Linked DNA regions of Schizosaccharomyces pombe. The protein of the gene in region 1 purifies or fractionates together with the protein of each later gene. This does not show direct contact. Each region holds a gene or a part of one and is shown in the gene's direction. Other genes may lie near its edges.

Region 1 (11,243 bases):
ATAGCATTTTTTCAAATCGAAATTGTTTTATAGTGAGATGTCGCTTTGCAATACTTGACGATCAAAAAATACAGCTATAAAATACTATTCGTTCACTGCATGTGGTTTTTGGATTGTCTAATTGATTTAGCATAATGAGGATACTAAAATTAAGATGCAGTAAATTATCCTTACTTTTGTGGAATTGTGTAAATAACAAGAACACCAATTGTTTACAAGGTATTCGAGTAAATAATCCATTTCAATTTCAGTATAATAGACTCCAAATAGATATTTAGTTCCGTTTAAAAAATTAAAATTAAAATGTAATTTAACCAAGCATTAAAAATAAAAAATAAACAATGAATTTGTTAACTCAATGGATGTGAATATTGTTACACCTTTATGCTTACTCTTAGCGAAAACGTGCGATAATTTATTTAAAATGGACCAGATAATTCAGAAATACTTCTAATTTTAAATCCCGATTACAATACACTGGTGCTATTCTGTAGAGTGTTTTCGTTCGTTTTGCAATTTTTTACAATCAATCCAGACAAACGCTTTGTTCATATTATAAAAATTCTAGTTGAAGTAATGCTTCCAAAAAGTGATAAATTAAATAAAATACCAAAGTTGAAGGAATAAAGTTTACTATATTAGTACTCACAGCAATTTAGTGTTCATATTCTAATTATTAGGTCTGAAAACCTTTTGGAAAAAATGACTGTTTCAGAATCTATAACATTGATTTCAAAAAAAAAAACAATAAACAATAAATCGATTGATGTTAGGATTTTAGAAAATATTTTCAAATCAATGAAATTGCATATGGAAAATAGTAGTTTTATTTACACGTTGAAGGGAATTCTACCTGTCAACGCAAAAAAATAAAAAAATAAAAAAAATTAATGTGACAACATAGTGTAAGCTAAGAAGATAATGATAATTATAAAGATTAAATAATATATTTATATACTACATGCTAAACAATATTTGACTTTGTTCCCAGATCTTTATTTCAGGTTTTGACCAAGGAAACGATACTAAATTGCGTTACCTATCGCCATAACCTATAAGTCACCCATAGTCAGATTCTAGTGATAAAGATTCATTGCTATAGTTAACTTACCTAAAGAATATAATATAATAAAACATTACTGTCCTACTAAACTTCTTAGTTCAATAGCACGGCCATCTTTTTTAAACAATACCACTAGACGGTTTTCAGCCTAACGCATCATTATGTCTGCATAATGAAATTTCTTAAATTACTTTAACGAGATTACACTGCAGTACATAGTATTGTTAGGTCAGATTAATACAGTTCAAGGTCAGTTTGGATTGATGCGCTGAGAAAGATAACGAAAAATAACGAAAAATAACGCGACTTTATCGACACGAAAAATTTTCAAAAAATAGCGATTTCTCCCTTTTCACAGTACCGGCGAGACAATTGGGGAAGGACTTGAGGAAGATATTACTTTTGGATCCATAAAGTTGTTTTCGTACATTAGATATCCATATCCTTTTCCGACTTTTTTGTCTTTCGTGGGTAACGACGTTTGTTTACGTTACAGTAGTATTACCAGTTTTCTGGCGAGTTCTTTTCCCTTAGTTGTTAAGAAGTTGATTGTTTTTATTGCTTTCCGCGTTTAAAAATATAAAACGCGAAAGCACGTGTCGTTGTCTCTTTATCCTCTTTTTTGTTCTATGGAGTGTTAAATCGTAGAGCTGGATAACTTCCATTTTTTATTTATACATTACTTTCAAAAATATTCGAAACACACAAAAGTTGCCTGGTTTATTATTATATAGTTTTTTTGTTACGTTCTATCAAATTTTTGAAAACACGTCAAATCCTCGTTTCTAATTACCCGCCGAATTTTTTGCATCACTTTATATCCTTTTCATTTAAAAGTAATTTTAATCACTTTATCTACGGTTTCGTCTGCTTTACCACCTTTGCATTATTTTTTTCTAAATTCATTTACTACACCTATAGTGGCTGGTCATTTCAAAATAATTTGTGAGTTTAAATTTTCTCATTGAACGCTTTTTTTTTGCTTTATTTTATTTTTGGTGTTTTTATTTTCGACAACTCACGAATAAGTTTGTTTACATTCGTTTTTGTTGATTGTTTACATCAAACTGCTTACTCCGTTCACAATAGCTCTTGAAGATAATTGTGAAAAGCATCACTCTTCTTTTCTACGTTTCTTGCTTTAAAAGATAGCTTTTTTTTTTCTTCTTTTCTAACATTTTTCTTCATAATTTCAAATTTTTGATTGCTTGTTGTTTTTCCATTCCGTTGTTGACATGTCGCTTGCTACTTTACAAGGACAGTCACTAGATTTTGCAGTCAAGCATTCACTAGATGATTTGCTTAAAAATCCCGTTCGCTTTCGTCCCGCGGTTGTTTCCTCACCATCGGTTCCTGAAGGTACTTACACTGTCTTAAACAATCCAAAGCAATCTACTGTTAGCCGTAAGTCATTTTCAGCGCCTACTTCCCCAACTAGAAACAAACGTTCTGGTTCTTCTTCCCAGGAATACAAAAAATCTTCAGGAACAAGGGGTGATGGAGCTAATGATTTTGTGGATGAGGATCCTGCTTTTATACCTCCGGCTCGCATTCTATTTCCCGAAGAAAAATTGTCGATGGAATGGGATAATATCATGCCCAATGCTCCGGGGCTCGTAAATCTCGGTAATACTTGTTTCATGAATTCAGTACTTCAGTTGATGACTCAAACTCCACCGTTGGTTCAATATCTTTTATCCGGTCAACATTCTTTATCCTGCCGTATGAATGCATGTGTACTCTGTAGAATGGAGCAACATGTCGCCCGTGCCTATCCCAACAAAGGCACCAAACGAGCTTCGGCCTTCAAACCTTCAGGTATACAAAGTATGCTCAAAGTAATTTCCAGTCATTTCCGCCCATATCGCCAAGAAGATGCTCATGAATTTATGCGATATTTGGTTGATGCTTGGCAAAAGTCTTGTCTTCAAAACCATAAAAATCTTGATCATCCAAGCAGGGAGACTTCGGTAGTACACAGAATTTTTGGTGGTTACCTACGCCAGCAGATTCTATGCTCAGTTTGTAAAAAACCTTCCAACACCTACCAAGCTTTACTTGACTTATCTGTGGATGCGAAGGGCTCCTCCTTGGCAGATTCCTTAAAGCATTTTGTGCATGCAGAAAAACTTACCAAACAAAACAAATATCGATGTGAAAATTGTAAGCAACTGGTGGATGCGTCCAAGCAAATGACTATTTATCGGGCACCAAATATTTTAACCATTCACTTCAAGCGGTTCACATTCAACGGTTTCCAATCTAGCAAAATCAGTAAGCAAATTTCATACCCTGAATCATTCAATCTCGGTCCGTATATGTCAGATCCCAATTGTTCTTGTTGGTACGAATTAATTGGGGTTCTTGTACATGCAGGCGGAAGTACCCGAAGCGGCCATTATTATTCGTTTTGCAAAAGTAGTAATGGTGTTTGGCTTAAATTTGACGATGATTTCGTTTCCAATTCCAGTATTGATCGAGTTTTGAATCAACAGGCCTATATTTTGCAATACAAGAGGAAATCAACTTCATCGTCTAAACACAAGCTAAACACCGAAAACACGGTTACCAAAACTTCTAATAAAAAACGGAGAAAAATTTCATTTTAATGCGATACAGTTAGCTTGAGCAGTTAAAGTTTTTGCTTCCTTTTGCCTATCTTTTTTTTTAATATGCTAATGTCTCTCTTATTTAGAGGTTGATGGTATAATATTATTGCACGTAGAACATTTTAATCTTGAAACAGCGATTTTTTATAGAAATCATTTTGTAAATTAAACCGCTGCATTGCATAAGACTGAAATGAGCAACTTTTTAGCTTTTAAATCAGTTCGTTGGTCAAAATGATAATTTTATTTTGACATATCTTCTGTTGAATTATAGCGGATTTAATGCTTATCTCCTACGGAACCGGGTAATTCTTCCTTAGGCTTTAGCCGTAGGCATTGCATTTTATTAAAGTACCTGAAGTTATCTTCTTCTCCTTTATCGTTTTTATGAAGAAATTGATCATTATTTTCAATGTAAACATACTTGATACCCATTCTATTATAACGACAGTAAATCGTATTAGCAAAAACATTTAATTGCAATTTTTGCAAATGTAGAGGTCGGTTATTAAATTCATAGTAGTAGAAGGTTTCCAATTAAGCTTAACGGATATATTTGTTAGTGCCACAAAGTGCTACCATCTTCGTCATATAGATTTCAATGGAGAGGAATGAGTAACCCTTTGCACCCAACGACCAATTTCCAAAACTCCTTCAAATTGACTAGTAAAGTGATTTTATATACGTGAAGCAAATCTATGTTTAGCGATTGTAAGTAGTAATAGAAGAAAGTTACACTAACGAGTAGATGCTTCGCGTTTTCTTGCACAATCAAGATTCTCTTCTGTTGACCAGCGCAATTTTAAATATCCTACCTCAAGATCGAATCTTCAGAGTGTTAGCATAGACAGAAATAGCTCAATTGATAGTCATGAGACTGATTTGAGCGCCGGGTCTTCGAGTTTGCATGGTTTGAACTCCTTGATAGATTCTGGGTCTATCCATTGGCAATTACGAGAACAAGAGCAGTCAAACTCTCATATTTCAAGGAACGAAAACGAGTTATTTTCTAAAGAGAATTCTATTTACAATGGAAATTTCTCCGAAAATTTAGGTGTTCAACCGAATCCACAGACTATATCTCATGAAAGCGTAAATGAAGAATATACGGAATTACCTTATGATGCCCATCTTCCATCAGAACAGAAGGTTCCAGATCGAAAATGGGGATTAACATTTGGATTTTTGACGTTGGCTCTCTTTACCTATAGCTTCCTGATGGTTTGGCGGACAAATCCTAATATTCCTCCAGCCACTTCTCCTTACGCAGCAATACAAAAAGCATTTCCATTATTTCATAAAGATGCGATTATTTGTATGATGCTTTCAGTTATATGGCTCTTCTGTCTTGTCGCAATTCCTCGTTTTCTGTACTTCCTGCTAGCATCGGTCCCATTGACCATGTTTGCTTTTGCTGTCTACTTGTTAAAAGCGTCTAGGATCCACTTGGAAACGTCAATTCAACCAAAGTTGATGCTATTAACTGGGATAATTTTGCTTGTTGCACCCATTCTGCTTTCATATTATGTTTGGCGGCGTCGTATTCATTTTGAAACTTCCTTTAATATTATTCGGCTTGCTTGTCGTGTTATAGCTGATATTCCTCAAATCACTTTAATATTCATCAGCTTCTTGTTTTCGTTTTATGTTTTAATCTTTATATGGGTAAGATTGTTTGCCCGCTTATTTTTGCGCGGTTCTACCCTTGTTGGTTCTGTATGGGTTTTGCCGAGAAGTTCTTGGGTCTTGGCCTCCTTTTATTCACTTCATTTCTTATGGTTGTGCACATTTTTTCATGCTCTTCAATGGTATGTTATTATATTGCTTTGGCCGGATTTTTTACTAACACAATTGTAGCGCTATTATTTCTTCAATTGTTTCTCAATGGTTTTTTTATCGTGATACTAAGTCTTCGGCTACCAAAACCAATTTAGTTTCTCACTTTTTCTATCACGTTGTTTCCAATCAGTATGGTTTATGTGCCTTTTCTTCCTTTTTAGTTGTTATCACCAAAGTACCATTGCATTTCCTACCCACATGGCTAAGACACGTTTCGCGTATTGTATATTATATGTTTTCAAAGACGTCTGCTTCGTATGTCACATCTCCTCTTACCCTAGCATACGCATCAATTTACTCAGTCCCGTACATGAATGCGTCCAAGGCTTTGTATCAAATCGAACAATTGAACCGAGTAGGATTACGCCGACGTTCCTACTATTTTTCTAAATACACTTTGCTAGCCGCTCGTTCCCTCCTCGCTATAGGAGTTGGCGTTACTTCGTGGAATTATTCCATTCATGAAAATGGTGTCTTTTATGGCTACATTGTAGGACTTTTAGGCGGATTCCTTGCTTGGCTTATCATTGGCGCCATAGAGGGCGGCCTCAGCATGATGTGAGTAATTATATTTAGTTATCCTCGCGTAAAATACTAACTTTTTCACAGTGTGGATGCGTTACTTATATGCTCTATTATCGATATTTCTAGCTGCCAAGGAGATCCTAATGGTTCTCACTGTTTCGAGGCATGGCAGCTTTTTGAATCAAATGGATATTAAAACCAAAAATGCGAATTACTTCTTTTGCTGTTTTTCTGTTTCTTTTAACTTCCTTAGAACCTACTTTCATCAAAGAGCTCAAAGAAAGAGATGCTGGTCACCTGTACGCGTATCCCTATTCCCTTTTACTTCATTAATATAATGTCAGCCTACTTTTTAACATTGACACCTTGGCGTTTGCTAGGATTTCTTTTCATGAAAAGTTTTTTCTCAAGCTATCCATCATATCACTGTAAATTAAAATATGATATTTTGTATGCAATTTCTTCGTACTAACTTAAAATTACACTTTTATCCTTCGTAAATACAATTTAACAAACGTAGACATATCATTTTTAACATACAAGCAAATAAACCCGAACCCGACGTGTAACTTTTACAAGTTAAGAGGGTTACAAATATCTGCAAAACTGTCTGCGAAAAGACAAGATATAAATAAAAACTCTATGATACTTAGACATTGAAATAAAAAACCTACGTTAGATAAAGTCGTTAAATCTCAGAAAGAGGAGTCCACAAATGATAGAAGCCAGACATGGATAGTATGAATACAGTGATTAAGCCTTTTGTTCGGCATTAGCCGAAACTTCTCCATTTTGAACAGTTGGCTTTATGTCCTGCTGTTCCATAGCTTTACTAGCAGCCAAAGAATCCAAAAGATCATGAAGAGCAATCACGGCCCTCACGATGCTGGAAATATAAATGGACATCAACTGATCATTGGAATTCACATTGAAAGCACGTTGTGCCTCTGATTCCAAGGCCTGTTCTGAAACCACAGGACCGCTAAAAATGTTAGGCAAAAGATTAAACACACTCTGAAGCTCGGCAAGGATAGCATGATTTATAGGTAGTTGCCCATCCACGACTTTCCTTAAGTAATCTGCGATTTCAGTGAGACGCTGCCCAAGGCCTTGTAAAGATTGTGCCTGCTGGGTAACTCTTGTCGCTAAAGTACCAACGGATGCATCACGAGTATCACGTAACAAGTGTTCAACACCAATTTCCTCTGCTTCCTCTGCCTCTATACTGGAGGGTAGATGAACAAAAGTTCTGCTGGACTTAGAGCCGTCGTCTTCAATTTCATCAATGGCAAAGTAGGCATTAGTCGGAAGACCCACTGATTTGGGCTTTACATCGATAATGACAAGAACGGGATTGGGTATGTATTTTTTAAGTAAGTTGTTGATTTCCAAATCAGAGGGTCGGAGTTGTGGTCCAGTATGATACCAGCCAACTAATTTTTCATTTGCATTGATTTTTTTAAACATTTCATTCATTGATTCCATAAAATTATGGTCCAAAAACCAAACCGATGCATTCTTTTCATCTTCCTCAAATGGTATAGCATAACTATTGGCCACGTTTACAACGTCGCCATTATTTTGACCCAATAGAATACCAACGACCCGTCTTTTGGTTCCCTTGGCAGATCGATTATAAGAATCTACTGCTGACAGAAGTACTAATGGATGCACAATCTAACCAATGGTTAATAAAAAAGTTTCTCAAATTTTCTACTTACAACTTGCTGTGGGACGATTGTAGAGGTTTCAGAGCTCACTGCAGGAGGCATTATAACCGGTTTATATTAAAAATTTGTCTCTCACAACTTCAACTGTGTATGGCAAACGAAAGGTTGAAAGCGTGTAACCTCTCATCACATGCTGCAGCGGTTTCCTACTTACCGCAAGTTAAGACATAGTTCATTACAGAAATATTACGATACTTTCAAATGCCCAACTACCTATTAAGCGCTGTAATATAACAATGCTTTAAACAATGATCATTCCATTAGGCTACTAAATGGCAATTATATTACACTCCCTCTCATATGTAGAAAGGATTGAAGAGCTATACATTTAAATCATGTTAAACGTGTAATTGCACGTAATTTACTCAAATAAATTCTGAAAAGACATGGACATTAAATATTGAAGACATATCTTGAAACCATCTGCTCTTTTTTTAAAGAAATACTTTGCATATCAAATTACATGCTGGTATTTCGATTTGAAGCATAGTATATCACTTTTAACTACTTAATCAAACCGAAATACACGTGAGACGCATTCCAAAAGTTCATTAAATATCTGTTCGATGACTATATTTACGATGAAACAAGTAAAAGAAACTTTCAGTAAGAACGTTCTTAAAAGTTTTCGTCTGAAGCAATTGAAACAGTTAGAATTCAGATATTTTGTATGTCCACACGTTTCATCAAAGCCATATGCATGAGATTTTTTGCAAACTTACATTAATAGGATTTGTGTTTTTGGAATTATTTCAAACGTTTAAAAATATTAACAGAAAAACATAGATCACTATTTGAGAACAACGATATTTCATCTTATCTCTAAAACGAAGGCTATCAGTTCTTATCAAAAAATGAAAAAAATTTCAATAAAAGTTCACTACACTAAAATCCTTTAACTTTTCTTTTTCAACACAACGAAACTTTTTGGTTATTAATTAAATTTTTAAATAGATAGAGAAAGATGGCTCCTGTTCAGTTGAAAAACAAAGAGTCGCAAACCGCTCGAATTGTGGGATCAGCATCTGCCGGAATTCTCGAACTTTCACTCTTTCATCCTGTTGATACAATTTCCAAGCGTTTGATGTCAAATCATGGAAAAATTACTTCTTTAACTCAACTTAACACTGTAATTTTCAGAGATGCTGCCTCTGCTCCTCTACTCCAAAAGGCTACCTCTCTTTTTCCTGGTTTGGGCTATGCTGCTTGCTACAAAATTGTACAACGTATTTATAAATATAGCGGTCAACCAATTGTATGTTGTAGAGTACTTATACTGGTAGTTTAAAGCGTACGTTTTTTCCAAGCCTTGATGGCGGAATTAATGTATCGCAGTTGGCTTCAGTATACTCGTTCATCTTTACTAACATGTTCAGGTAAAAGACTTTTTGAATGAAAATTATAGACATACTTTTGATAAAACTTTTGGAAAGGGATCTGGAAAAGCCATTATGCATGCTACTGCTGGAAGGTATGTATCTGTCGAATATTTGTTTAACTAAGCTGAAAGCTTATGTTTAAGATTGTTGAAAAGGGAATTCAAGATGTGTATAGCTTACTAACTTTTCAGTATCGTTGGAATTGGAGAGATCTTCCTCCTTCCCTTAGACGTCCTGAAAATTAAGCGCCAAACCAATCCTGCAGCTTTTAAAGGTCGCGGTGTTTTCAGAATTCTCGCTGATGAGAAATTTGCGTTGTATCGTGGATGGGGATGGACTGCCGCCCGCAATGCCCCAGGTTCTTTTGCACTCTTTGGTGGTAACGCTTTTGCTAAGGAGTACATATTTAAACTAAAGGATTACTCTCAAGCCACTTTTTTTCAAAATTTTTTCACCTCAATCGCTGGTGCTTCTGCTAGTTTGATTGTCTCTGCCCCTCTCGATGTTATTAAAACTCGTATTCAAAATAAGAATTTTGATAACCCTCAATCCGGGTTTACTATTTTGAAAAATATGCTTAAATTCGAAGGACCTACCTCGTTCTTTAAAGGGTTGACTCCCAAATTGTTGACAACTGGTCCTAAGCTTGTTTTTTCATTTACCATGGCTCAAACCCTTATCCCCTTCTTTGATAAGCTTTTGAAATAATATGCTTTATTTCTTCATTTCAATGTTGAAATATTGTTGAGTGTGCTCTGTTTTTCTATATAAATAATTCATTGGGGTTGTAATCTTTTGAAAGACTTTACTTTTTGGTTCTTTTTGTTTTTGTCATTCAAAAGTGAAGAAAGTTTTTTTTTGAGACTGTTATTGATCTTTTACTTTGTAAAAATACTAACAAATATTTTGTTTTTCTTTTAATTTTTTTAGATATACTTGTCCTTAATCTACTTATTTTCTCAAATATTACTTCGATTGGTGTTTGTTTTGTTTATTTTGTTTGTTTCTGTTATTGTTTATTTTTCTGAGTGAACTTACCTTGGTAAACACTATTTGTTTTGGTTGGATATTTATAGCCTGGTGTCAGCAACTCTTCATCCACCAATATCCAATTTCCGAAAGAACAGAAAAAACCATATCCATTAAATATTAGTTTTTATTTATAGAGTTTATTATGCAGTCAATTGATTTAAGGCTACCTTCGACTTCTGCAAATCATTCAATCTCTGAATCGCTGGAGCATTCCAAGTCAGAATTAAATGAACTTTCAAATGTTAGTGAAAGCGAATCTTATTTCGATATTACAAAGAAACTCCATGCATTAAGCACTGTTGTTCAACGTCAACAACGAGAGATCGACAATCAGAAAAGAGATTTGTGTACCAAAACGAAACATATTGAAGAATTACAAACGCTCTTGTCTAATGCAAATATCATGTCTGATGGGGCTTCTTCTCAAAATGATGCATTTGCTCATAACCCATCTACCTCTGTTTCTGTAGAATTAGTTCGACCTGTTGTTGGGACTAAAAAGCATGCAGTATACGCAACTTCAGCTCCTAAGAGCATGTCATTGCAGGATTCTTTGTCTGTTCCTTCGGCAACTGCTTTGGCTGATGTTTCAAGTTCGTTGAATTATTCTCGAAAATTAAGTTCGAACAGTATTAAATCCACGAATGCTCCTGTATTTGGAACAGCAGTCAAAAACGTAACAGGTGAAAATATATTGTCTGCATCTTCTTCTGAGGAAAATTTGAACTCTAATAGAAACGGAGATCCAAAATTTCGTTTTTCAGTTTCACCATGGATATCTTCTTCGAATTTTAACCCTTATGAGGCTTCGTTAGCTAATTTCCAATCGGACAATTGCAAGCTAAAATCCCATAACTCATTACCATCGATCCGTACCAATGTTCGATATAGCAATTCTAAACCGTCAACACCATTATCTCCAGAGGATGTCGATCTTGGAACTTATACAGTTAAGAACCGTGATAGTTGGTCGAATGAAGTGAATCTCTCGGCATCCACAAATAACTTGAGTACGAATACGTCTGGCACGTTAAAGCCATACTCACTCAGCTCTTCTCGGAGTTCT
Region 2 (11,478 bases), on another chromosome or scaffold:
CTTCAAAATCGGTGCAGGTATGGTACCAATTGTAAAAATCAACATACGGTACCTTCTAATGGACAAAATGCATTTTCTAAGGTTAATGTCTTTCGTCCAGAGAATGGACGACCTCCAATATGGGTACAAAGGCGTTTGAAGAGAAGCGATTTAGATAATTTGCTTCCCAATAGAAGAATGAAGGATATTAACGACGATCTTAAAAACGCAAAACCACAATGGCCTTTTACAGGTTATTCAGTAGTTGAGAATCTACCATCAATTTATGAAGGCGATGTTTCGCCTGAAGAATTGCGGTGGTGGGCATATCAGGCTAAAGCGACAAACAATATGCAAGCATATGAACAACGCCAGAAACAGTTGATGGATGATGTAGAAGCAAAAGCAGCAGCCGTTAAACGGTCGCCTGCTGCTGCTTTCGATGAAATGAGAAATAAACTCGTCGGAAAGACAAATTATAAGTCAATTTTTGATAAGTCTACTAGCAATTCAACGGTTACGTCTAATCAGTTCAACAAGCCAACTCAAAATAGTCCTTTCAATTCTTTTTCAAATAACAATAATTCTTTCAATAACAATCAGCAAGCAAACGATATTTTTGGCGCCCCTACGACTTCTGCATTTACATCGCAATTAAATGCGTCTCCATTTTCTCAAAATACATCCTCAAATTCATTTACGGGAAGTAATCCAGTCCAAAACAACCCATCTTCTTTTGGTTCGTCTAGTTTTGGTTCGGCAACCTCAGGGCCATCAGCATTTGGGGGAATATCTCAGCCAAATTCGTCATTTGTTAATTCCGGACAAGGGATTCCTAACTCATCATTCTCCTCGTTTTCACAAGTTGCTTCTGGGTTTTCACAAAGTCAAAATGTGAATGATCCAAGTTCGATTTTCGGTCCTACTGTTGCCAGCGGTTTTGGAATACAGAATCAGCCTCAGCAATCAGCTTTTCAAAATTTGAATACTCAATTCTCGCTTCCTAATAATTCACAACCAGTTTTTGGTCATACATCTTTAACACAACCAGTGAACCCAAATGGTTTTACTGTTCAGCCCCCTGCTACTTTTATGCAACAACCTCAAGGCCCTTTTGTTCCGCCTAATACTACTTTTGAATCTCCATTTGCCAATGTAACCTCTAAAATATCCGCTTCAGGATTTTCTAACGATAATCCTGCTAACAAAAATATAATCCAAACTCCTATGTTTGGATCTTCTAACACAATTGACGGTAAGTTTTTTTACTTTGTATCCTTGCTAGTATACGAATATGACTAACGATCATCGACAGGTCCGATTAATCCAATAGGTGCTTCTTCTATCCAAACTTTGGATGATCAAGTAGAAATGAGTAATTCCAATCAAAATCTCGCATTTCCCCCAGAAATGATTCAGCAATTTGAAGCTCAAGATTTCATTCCCGGAAAAGTTCCAACAACAGCCCCTCCACCACAATTTTGTTAATTATTTTATTAAAATAGTTATTCAACGTAAGTTTTTTCGGGGATTTTTGATTAGTATTAAACTTTGTTCAAATTTCATATTCGATATTAGGTTGTAAATATATATATATATATATATATGTAATTTCAATTACGAGTATTAGACAAAGTGTGATGCTTTCCTACACGGCTATCTGATAAAGTTGTACCTAACTCGATTTATGTATCATTGTAAAATTCTAGAAAGAAAACAGTACTATTTTTTGTTATTAATTCATGAATCAAACTGATAGCTGATTTGATATAGAGGACAGAACTGTCCTGCACGCCTATTGGGTCTAAAGAGATGGTTGTCCCAATTCCACACACAATTCACTCCAGATTTTTGCAAGAACCCAAAACTTTTGTTTATGGCTATTTATATATAAATCTCAATTTTATTTAATTCTTTAAATGTCTGCAAATATTTCTTACCTAGTCAATCCACCTACAGAGGTCGGTTCATCAATTCCAGCTGATACTGAACATGCCATTTCAGTTACTTTACCTACATGGAAATCCAATGTTGGATATGAAGAGGGAGATCCTAATGTAACTACTAAAATGAAGTCAGGATATCCGAGGTTCTTTATAAGCGCACACGTCAAGGATTGCATTAGCATCATAAAGAAATTTCCAGAGATTGAGATTTTGAAGCTAAAGGACTACGATATGTTTTTGTATCCTTCATTATCCGTTGCTAAGCAAAGTGCAGCTTTTCTTGAAAGTAAAGGACCTATAGACTCTGCGGAAGTCATTATTTATGATGCCACGAAGGGACTGCGAAAACATCTTGATTCAATTGACCGAAATCGCAAATATACTGAAGAAATACACATACCTCAGGTTTATTCTGTATTGTTTCCATCCAAATACTTTGGGATTGCCAAGCAATTCTGGCAACATACGGGGGACGGTATTTCAAGCAGACGCGCAGCTGCTTTTCTGCATTCCTACAAAAAAATTCAGTCTATTTCCGAATTTTTGGTTGCCCAGAGGTCTATTTCTCATCTCAAAAGTAAAAGCAGAAGCCGATATGCTTCCCATCCAGATCTACAGGCTTTGAATACTTGGATGACTAACGAAGGAAACCAAGCTAATGATGAAATGGAAGACGTATCCCTATATTTGGAGGAGAGATATGGGCGTAATTTAGATTTAAGTTTGGCTACAGCAGCTAAACTTGTTCTTCGACGACGTATCGCTGGTACCTTAAAAGATGAAGTTGATTTGCAAAAGGCTTTACCCAAAGAAGGGTCTCAGTATTTACGTGAAGTTAAAGGTTTAAGTCACGACGATGTTTTTTTATTTCCTACTGGCATGAGTGCTATTTACAATACTCATCGCATATTAAGGTTGGTGCTTGATGATAGCCGTAAAAGTGTTTGTTTTGGTTTTTGTTATGTTGATACCTTAAAAATTTTACAGAAATGGGGATCTGGCTGCTACTTTTATGGACTAGGTAATGACGAGCAACTTGATGAGTTTGAGAAACGGTTAGAAAGTGGAGAGAAAGTTATGGCATTGTTTTGTGAGTTTCCATCAAATCCTCTTTTAAACTCTCCCGATTTGGTTCGTATTCGGAAATTAGCAGACAGTTATGATTTTGCTGTCGTGGTTGATGAAACAATTGGAAATTTTGTCAACGTTGAGGTTTTACCATTAGCAGATGTAGTTGTCAGCAGCCTCACAAAGATTTTTAGCGGTGATAGTAATGTAATGGGAGGTAGTATGGTTTTAAATCCGTCAAGTCGTTACTACTCTCGAATAAAAGATGCTATGAAGGCTCTTTATGAAGACTTATTATATGATGAGGATGCTTTGACATTAGAAAGAAATAGCAGAGATTTTGCTGAACGTTCACAAGTGATAAACCATAACGCGGAAACAATTTGTAATTTGCTTTATCAAAACCCTAAAATTAAAACTCTATACTATCCCAAATACAATACATCAAAAGAGCATTTTGAAGCTTGCCGGAGAGAAAATGGAGGTTATGGTGGTCTTTTGTCTGTCGTTTTCCACAATCCTGAAGATGCGCGCCAATTTTACGACAAAATCCAAGTAGCAAAAGGTCCCTCACTTGGTACAAATTTTACGTTGGCTTCTCCCTATGCAATTTTAGCTCACTACCAAGAGTTGGATTGGGCTGGTGAGAATGGCATAGATAGAAACCTTGTTCGTGTCAGCGTTGGAATGGAACCCAGCGAACACCTGAAAAATGTTTTTATAAATGCTCTTTCATAACTTGTATCTAAACTGTTTTCAAATAATAGATATTTTTTAAAAACCCAATCATATAACTATAGTTATAGATGAAACTGTCATAGTTATTCTTGAAATTGTTGTTTTTTCTTTTTGGTATTACCTTAAATATATTTAAACAAAATAGAAAATATATGCCTGATGTGATAGGAAAATGTAGTAAAGATATGTTTTTCTAGCTATTTCGAATGTGAGAAATATTTTAGGAAGTTCATTGTCTAAATGTTTACTTCGGGAACAGATGCAACGAGGTACAATACGTTCGCTTGGGGTATGCTACTTTGTTCTCAACGCTCAGTAATAAAGTGCGCGCGCTAGAAATTCTTTTGGTGCAAACCAAAATCATAATGCCCGAATCGGCTCCTTCAACTCCTCCATCTGTAAATCGGAGGCATGAACCAGAAATGCTTTCAGAGTACCCCTCGCTGATGTTTGAACACTCATATTTGGCGTCACCCTCTAGTCCGATTGATCAGGTTCATGACGAACTCAAACACTCTCAGAAACGTCCAAGATTAACTAACGACGAAGAAACAATTCCAGAAGAAGATGACAGTACTGTTCGCCTTACAGACTCAGAGCTTGAAGATCCAGTTTCAAGCAACGAGTTGATTCAAACTTCATGTCACCTGCTCACAAGCGTGTTAACTCAGCTACAGACCAACTTAGATAAACTTAAAGATAGTCATCAAAAAGCATTACTTCGGATACAAGAACTAGAAAAAAAGGTCTCTGAATTAAGCAAAAATAATAAAGATTCATGAGAAAAACCCATATGCCAATTTGAGTGGAATTGCGATCATGTTTTATCAGCCGGCTCAAAACAAAAAGCAATATGACGATCTTGCTGATATAGAAGCTCAAAATAATGTTCCTAATACCCAAGAAGTTTTAGAGGCATGGCAAGAGTCTTTAGACAGTGATGAGGACGAGTCTTCGCCACTTGAGGAATCCAACGGCTTTACAATATCTGAACATGACGATTTCGTAAAAAGCGTTCCAAGAAAGAATAATCCAACGGATTTGCTGTATTCTGGAAAGCTTCTGGACTCAGACGAGCCTCCATCTGTTCATGGAAATTCTTCAAAAGTACCCTCGAAACACCCCAGTCCTTCCTTTCCTGAAACTACTTCTCTGAGGAACCTGCAAAATGGTTCAAAGCAAAAACCAGCACTCCCCAATTTTAACGATCCCCATTTTTATAATGAAGATGTCACTCGCTCTGGACATCCTAATCGATCTATTTATACTCAGCTTCCTCGTAACGAATTTTCCAACGCTCGCGTTCTTTGGAATCGTTTAAGTGCCCGGGATCGGGTTCTTTGGAGATGGGCAAACGTAGAAAATTTGGATAGCTTTCTTCAGCAAGTTTATACTTACTACACTGGTAAAGGATTGTCTTGTATAATTGTTCACCGACTATTTCAAATTTTGACAGTTTCATTTGTTATTGGTTTTACCACATTCATAACTAGTTGCATAGATTGGCCTGCTGTGACACCCCATGGTTCACTGGCTGGTGTCACAAAGTCTCAATGCATTGCACAAATGTCGCCAATAACGTATCTTGTTTTGTGGCTTTTTTTAAGTTTTCTTTTGGCACTTTGGATATATTATCTTACTGATATTCCAAGGTTATGGCAAATGCGTGAGTTTTATATTCATGCCTTAAAAATTGCTACCGCAGATATGCCAACAGTATCTTGGCAAAGGGTTTTATATCGTTTATTGAAATTAAAGAATGTAAATGCTCTTACTGCTGAGGATGGAAGGGTAGTGTCTCTTCATAACATGAAACGCCTGGATGCTTATGCAATTGCAAATCGTATAATGAGAAAAGACAATTACTTCATTGCACTGATAAATAATGGAATAATTAATATTGAGCTTCCTCTCTTGCACAGGAGAATACTCACACATACCACGGAATGGAACATAAATTGGTGCATATTCAATTTCGTTTTCGATGAGCAAGGTCAGCTTCGTAGTGCTTTTCGAAATCCTAACTCCCGGAAAAGGCTTTCTGAAGAATTACGTCGTCGATTCATCGTCGCTGGTTTCCTCAATTGCCTTTTTGCGCCAATCGTTGCAATTTACTTAGTAATTCACAATTTCTTCCGCTATTTTAATGAATATCATAAAAATCCAGGCGCGTTGAGTACAAGAAGATACACTCCATTAGCTTTATGGACTTTTCGTGAATACAATGAGTTACAACATTTTTTTGATGAACGCATTAATGATAGCTATGCGGCCGCATCTCATTATGTATCTCAGTTCCCTGACTTTAACATGATTAGGTTATTCAAATACATATCATTTATTTTAGGAAGTTTTACTGCGATTTTAGTAATAATCACAGTTTTTGATCCTGAATTAATGGTAACTTTTGAAATAACTAAAGATCGATCTGTACTTTTTTATCTTGGTCTTTTCGGATCTCTTATAGCAGTTTCGCGCTCAATAATACCTGATGAAACTTTGGTTTTTGCTCCGGAAAAAGCTTTAAGGCGCGTAATCACTTTTACACATTACATGCCAGGATGGTGGTCTGATAACATGCATAGTAAAGCTGTTCAACAAGAGTTCTGTTCTCTATATTCATATCGCATAGTTAATCTTCTTTGGGAGATTCTTGGAATTTTGCTGACACCCGTATTGTTGTTTTTCACTTTTCCTTCCTGCAGTCAAGATATTGTGGATTTCTTCAGAGAACATACTATAAACGTTGAAGGCGTTGGGTACGTCTGTAGTTACGCTGTTTTCCAGGACAACCCGCCTTATGAGTCTGTCGCTTCTTTGGTACAATCACGTAAAATAAGCCCTCTAATTCAAAATAAACCAGAACTTTCTCGCATCAGCTTTTACGAACAATTTAATACGGAAGCACCTAGAAGGGATCTTCGTTAATGAAATTGAGAGTCAGTTCTTGAAACAACCAAGCAAGTCTCAATGGCTTAATGGTTTATTTTTCTGTCATACAAAATGAAGGACAATGTTTATAAGAAGTGTTAACAATTTGCTAGCAAGGCAATTTGAGCCACTAATGCATGTAATGATTGTATTTTTACTAATTTCTTTTAATGAATGGTGATTGTTTGTTTGGAGAGTTAGCAGTTTACGTTGAAGCTTCTTTATTTATTCAGCTGTAGACTTTATGTTTTACTATTAATGAAGTTTACATTTAATGGAATGATATTATTTTTATGAACATCCGTACAATTTCTTTGAATCAATGTAAACACTGTTTATTACAGTTATAATTACGGAGTTACGCTACAGTGACGACTAATGACAATTACTTATGGTATTAATCAGTAGAAGAAAAAAAATAAAAAAAAATAAATAGATTGGAACAACTTTAAAACTTTCACTTATACTGCGACAAGTGGAAACAAATTTTCTTAGAGCATAGAAAATGCCGCGATTTTATTTTGTAGCATTGTTTTTCAATTCGGGTACAAGATGTATCGAAATGCATCAGTGCCGTTCAAATAATAACGATAAAGACGTTTATAGCGACAAAACCCGAGTCTTTCATAAAAAGACATGGCTGCCTCATTATCCACCTCTGTTTCCAAAACAATTTCCTGGGCACCTCTATTTTTCATTACATCCAGACTAGCTTGAGTCAATTTAGTAGCGATTCCTTGTCCCCTGTATTCTTTTACTATGGCCAGCATTGCTATATAACCTCTAAGCGTCGTCCCTCTATGAACATCTTGTTTGCATATTACAGCTCCAATAAATCGATCATTATCTAAAGCAACAAAACTGAATTCTGGCCTTTAATCTGTCAGTAAACTATAATGATATTGCCGAGTTTCATAATATGCAAGAAGCAGTTTGAGAAATCAATGAAATGGGAACATACCATTGGTGCACAAAATAACGATACACATATTTACTATATGGCTCACTCAAATCTTTTTGAATAAGCTGACATATATCTTTTAAATATTGGTGACTGTATGGGACAATTGTCACCATTCTCTTCTAGATATAATTTAGGGTCTGTAACGGTTGCAGAGCTGTATATATCAACAGCTTTAAGACGAATGTCGAAATTACAGATATAGCGTTAAAACGTTATATGCGGTTCTTAAACTGAGTATTATAAACAATGAATAAACGAGTAGGCCAGTATAAATTAAGTTTATAATTTGGCTTTTTTGCTTGGATTTGTTACATCTATGTCAATGATATGACATTTATAATATTGAGTGTTATATAAAATAATTTAGTATAAAAGCTTTTTATTGCGTACATTTAAAATTAATTCAACAAACATATATCAATATACATTATTAAAATGAAATATAAAATAACTGCCATTATTGGTTTCCGACGACGAAAGGAGATATTCGATGTAGATTACGCCCAATTAGGATAATTTCGGGATGGATATCCTTTTCTAAAAATGCTCGAGGCTTCTCCGACAGCGGCATAATTTCGAATACTTCGCGAACACCCTGAAAGATGTACCAAGAGCCATCGTCTTTATTAAAAATTCCTTTACTTCGATAAATCATAAACTCCTCGTCTTCCCCTTCCTCCAAACAAGACCAAAGTGTATGACGAACCCATTGTAGAAATTGCTGAAAAACCTCTTTCGACATTAGTGGGGGCAGTTTAAAAGTATGAGTTGAGATATCAAGGCTATGCGTATCGAGAGAATGCAAATGTTGGCAATCCACGTCCAAACAAGTAGAACAATTAATATTGCTATCATTGCTCCTTTGAATCGACCACTCAAGATTAGAAGTATTTTCGTTGCCGTATGCATCCAAGTCCAAAATTTCAGAAATGTCATCCAACCGTCCATATGTTGTTTCAATAATCTTCGCTAAGCAATTGATCTTCAATATAGTTTGACGTACCACAGATAATGCTTCAGAAGAAATAAGATCTGTTTTGTTTAAGATCAAACAATCAGCATGTGAAATTTGAATAAAACCAATATCACTTTCATCCTTTAAGATATTATCTATATTTTTACAATCAATAACAGTAACGATGCCATCTAACTTGACATCGCTTTTCAACGCGTCGTCCAACCAAAATGTTTGAGCAAGAGGACCAGGATTGGCTATACCCGTTGTTTCAATTACAATGTTATCAAATCTCCCCTTTTGCCTCATAATTTTTTCCAAAGCTTTAATCCCATTGTCTTTCACAGTGCAACACATGCACCCATTTGAAAGAGCCACCCACTCTTCATAAAGTTCTTCTCCTCCAACATCCTCCATTAAGCTCCTTTCAAGGTCTCCCGAATCACCCACCTCATTCATTAATACAGCAACCCTTTTACCATTTCGATTTTCAAGAATTGACCGTAGCAAAGAAGTTTTACCGGCACCCAAAAAGCCCGTCAGTATTGTGACAGGGACTGGGTCCAAGGTAGAGTCATGATCAACTAGAAGAAAATCTGATTGCTGCTCAAATGAATCAATATCATTATTGGACGAAACCGTAGGTACGCTTAATGTTTCCGAATGCGGTTGTGTGTTAACCTCTTCAACGTCAACCAGCTGTGGAATTTCCGACTCGTTTTCAATTTCAAAGTCCATTCTTACACCTTTTTTAAATAATGGTCATATAATTAATCTTTTCGAGTTGAATACTTTGAGAAATACTTCTAAAAGCCTCAATTTAGGTCTCACAGGTAAATACTTTCGAAAAGTGTTAATAATGAATTTTTTTAGTATGAAATTAGCACAACACTGTGTTTGCACTATATGCAGTCATTTCGTATAACACTGACATGGTTTTATAGCGAAAATTGTCAGCAGCTACGAATGAATAGTGTGATAAATTACTTATACAACGAATTTTACATGAAATGACTTTATAGCAAAAGCAAGACATCAGAGCAAAATAATAATAAACATAGCAAGTAATTTATTAAAACTACATATAGGCAATAGAATCTTTAAACATATTATTGCGAAATATTAATTATGATACAATAATTTACAATTATATATGATGAAAGAAAATGTTACTTTACATAATCCATTTCGGATAACTTTACTATTTAAGGCAACCATATCGCCTTAATTAGTAAAATTGCCCCAAATGAGGGACGAACTCAAAAATGATGCATCCGGAGCTGACCTTAGCCAGTCCACAGTTATTCGTCAGGGCTCAGTGCAATGCCAAGACAAATAACTGAGTCTCCACAATTCTTGTGCTGCAGAAACTCATGCCAGGTAAGTAAAGAACCGTAAGTGTAAGCACCCATATTTATAGTAACGACGCGGAACGAAGCAGTCACGAAAGTAGTCACATTCTTACATGCAATAAAGAAGTACAGTATAATTATTTAACAAAAATGATATTTAAATCGTTAAATTTTGCTGATTAGTGAAATCGTTCAGCGATTTGTAATTATATAAATCTCCAAAATTTCATAATAGGAAATGATTTCGTTGCTTTCAAGCCATGAATAGTTAACACGATGTATTAGTTTCTTAACTGAGTATTTTCGTAATGTCTAATCAATGCTATTTTCAGATGACTTTGGCAAGTTCTTGTAAACTCTTGTATTTTATTTTATTATTTTATAGATAAAATTAGTGTAAAATGACAGGTTACCAAAGACTTAAAGAAAGTTGTGTTTAACTAATCTCATCTGAATGAATTTTTGGTATTCAAATATGTGGACAAACATCGGAAACAAATTCAGTACAGTCTGTACACAACGTACAAAAGAAATGAAAGAAGAAGTCATAATAATTAACTATTTTCCAATTTTCAGTTAGAAAAATAAAAAAAAATAGAAAAAACCGGACTTCCATAGATGCTCATTTTTGGTCCAAAACATGTGGAATGTGAATTATATGTTATCTTCAGGATACACTAAAGGAGCGACAAAATGCCTGATAATTAAACCGAATATTCCGGTAAGTAATTGCAATCCCATTATACATATTGTTAAATGGTCTTCCCTCATTGGGCCCAGATGATACAAAACAAAATTAATAATTGTAAAGTTCGTACACCTGAGCGGGCGCCCGGTGCTAGGATCGTACTCAACCCGAATCAATCGTAATTTTTCAAAAATAGAAATAGTCAGCAAAGTCTTTTTAGGTAAAGGATGCTCGTTTAGAGAGAATTCTGTGTAGGAGTTTTCCAACAATCCAGTTTTCACATTTAGTTTAGGAAGTCGATGACGGGGACATTCAACCAATCCAAAAAGCTGTGGAACGGAAAGCGCAAAATTGAAAATTTGAGGGATAAAAAAGAGCATAAGTGTCTTAGAGAAATGACCTAAAATTCCAACAACTGCCATTACCATTCCTGCAAAATAGCAAAACGTATCACCTACAAACACTCGCGAAGGCCACCAATTGTATTTTAGAAGCCCAGCAGTGACACCTATAAGAGGCAAGACTAGATAAAGGGAAAGGAGATGAGCTCTTAATGCATCCTTATTTTTGGGAGAGAGTACATAAAACAAATCATTGCAAGCAATAACAAGAGCAAGAACAAGCGATTGGCCTGCCTCAACACCATTTACTCCAGCAATAATGTTAATACTGTTTGGACAAAAAATCGCAACCGCAGCCATATAAAAGTAATAAAGAAAACCCAAGTTGATAAGAGATCTCTTTAAAAATGGTCTTACAATGCTAGGAACGGACACATAAGTAACTCCATAGTCAACGTAGTAAACAACCAACAATGGGATAGCGGCAATTGCTGGTAAAAAGAATTTATGCCTCCA

The links.
Region 2: the proteins of ctl1 (region 1) and atg9 purify together in Schizosaccharomyces pombe (affinity purification with western blotting; one study listed by BioGRID). This does not show direct contact.

The regions. Positions count from the first base shown.
Region 1 is NC_003421.2:387,312-398,554, reverse strand, and holds ctl1 (choline transmembrane transporter family protein), read left to right. Parts: upstream 1-4,289; 5' UTR 4,290-4,370; coding exon 4,371-4,383; intron 4,384-4,420; coding exon 4,421-5,480; intron 5,481-5,529; coding exon 5,530-6,069; intron 6,070-6,120; coding exon 6,121-6,232; 3' UTR 6,233-6,533; downstream 6,534-11,243. Other genes in the region: ubiquitin hydrolase Ubp16, read left to right, coding at 2,299-3,672; proteasome regulatory subunit Rpn8, read right to left, coding at 6,790-7,713, 7,758-7,808; ggc1 (guanine nucleotide transporter), read left to right, coding at 8,731-9,021, 9,143-9,237, 9,337-9,853; meiotic pumilio family RNA-binding protein Mpf2, read left to right, coding at 10,320-11,243. UniProt on the Schizosaccharomyces pombe protein: Required for the normal organization of the preautophagosomal structure (PAS) and for the correct subcellular location of atg9.
Region 2 is NC_003423.3:3,018,694-3,030,171, reverse strand, and holds atg9 (autophagy-associated protein Atg9), read left to right. Parts: upstream 1-4,513; 5' UTR 4,514-4,550; coding exon 4,551-6,659; 3' UTR 6,660-6,829; downstream 6,830-11,478. Other genes in the region: nuclear rim protein Amo1, read left to right, coding at 1-1,234, 1,295-1,467; met3 (cystathionine gamma-synthase), read left to right, coding at 1,899-3,731; SPOM_SPBC15D4.08C (uncharacterized protein), read left to right, coding at 4,097-4,513; NatC N-acetyltransferase complex catalytic subunit Naa30, read right to left, coding at 7,199-7,535, 7,624-7,739; zng1 (nucleotide-binding domain-containing protein CobW/HypB/UreG), read right to left, coding at 8,084-9,319; gpt2 (UDP-N-acetylglucosamine--dolichyl-phosphate N-acetylglucosaminephosphotransferase), read right to left, coding at 10,588-11,478. UniProt on the Schizosaccharomyces pombe protein: Phospholipid scramblase involved in autophagy and cytoplasm to vacuole transport (Cvt) vesicle formation.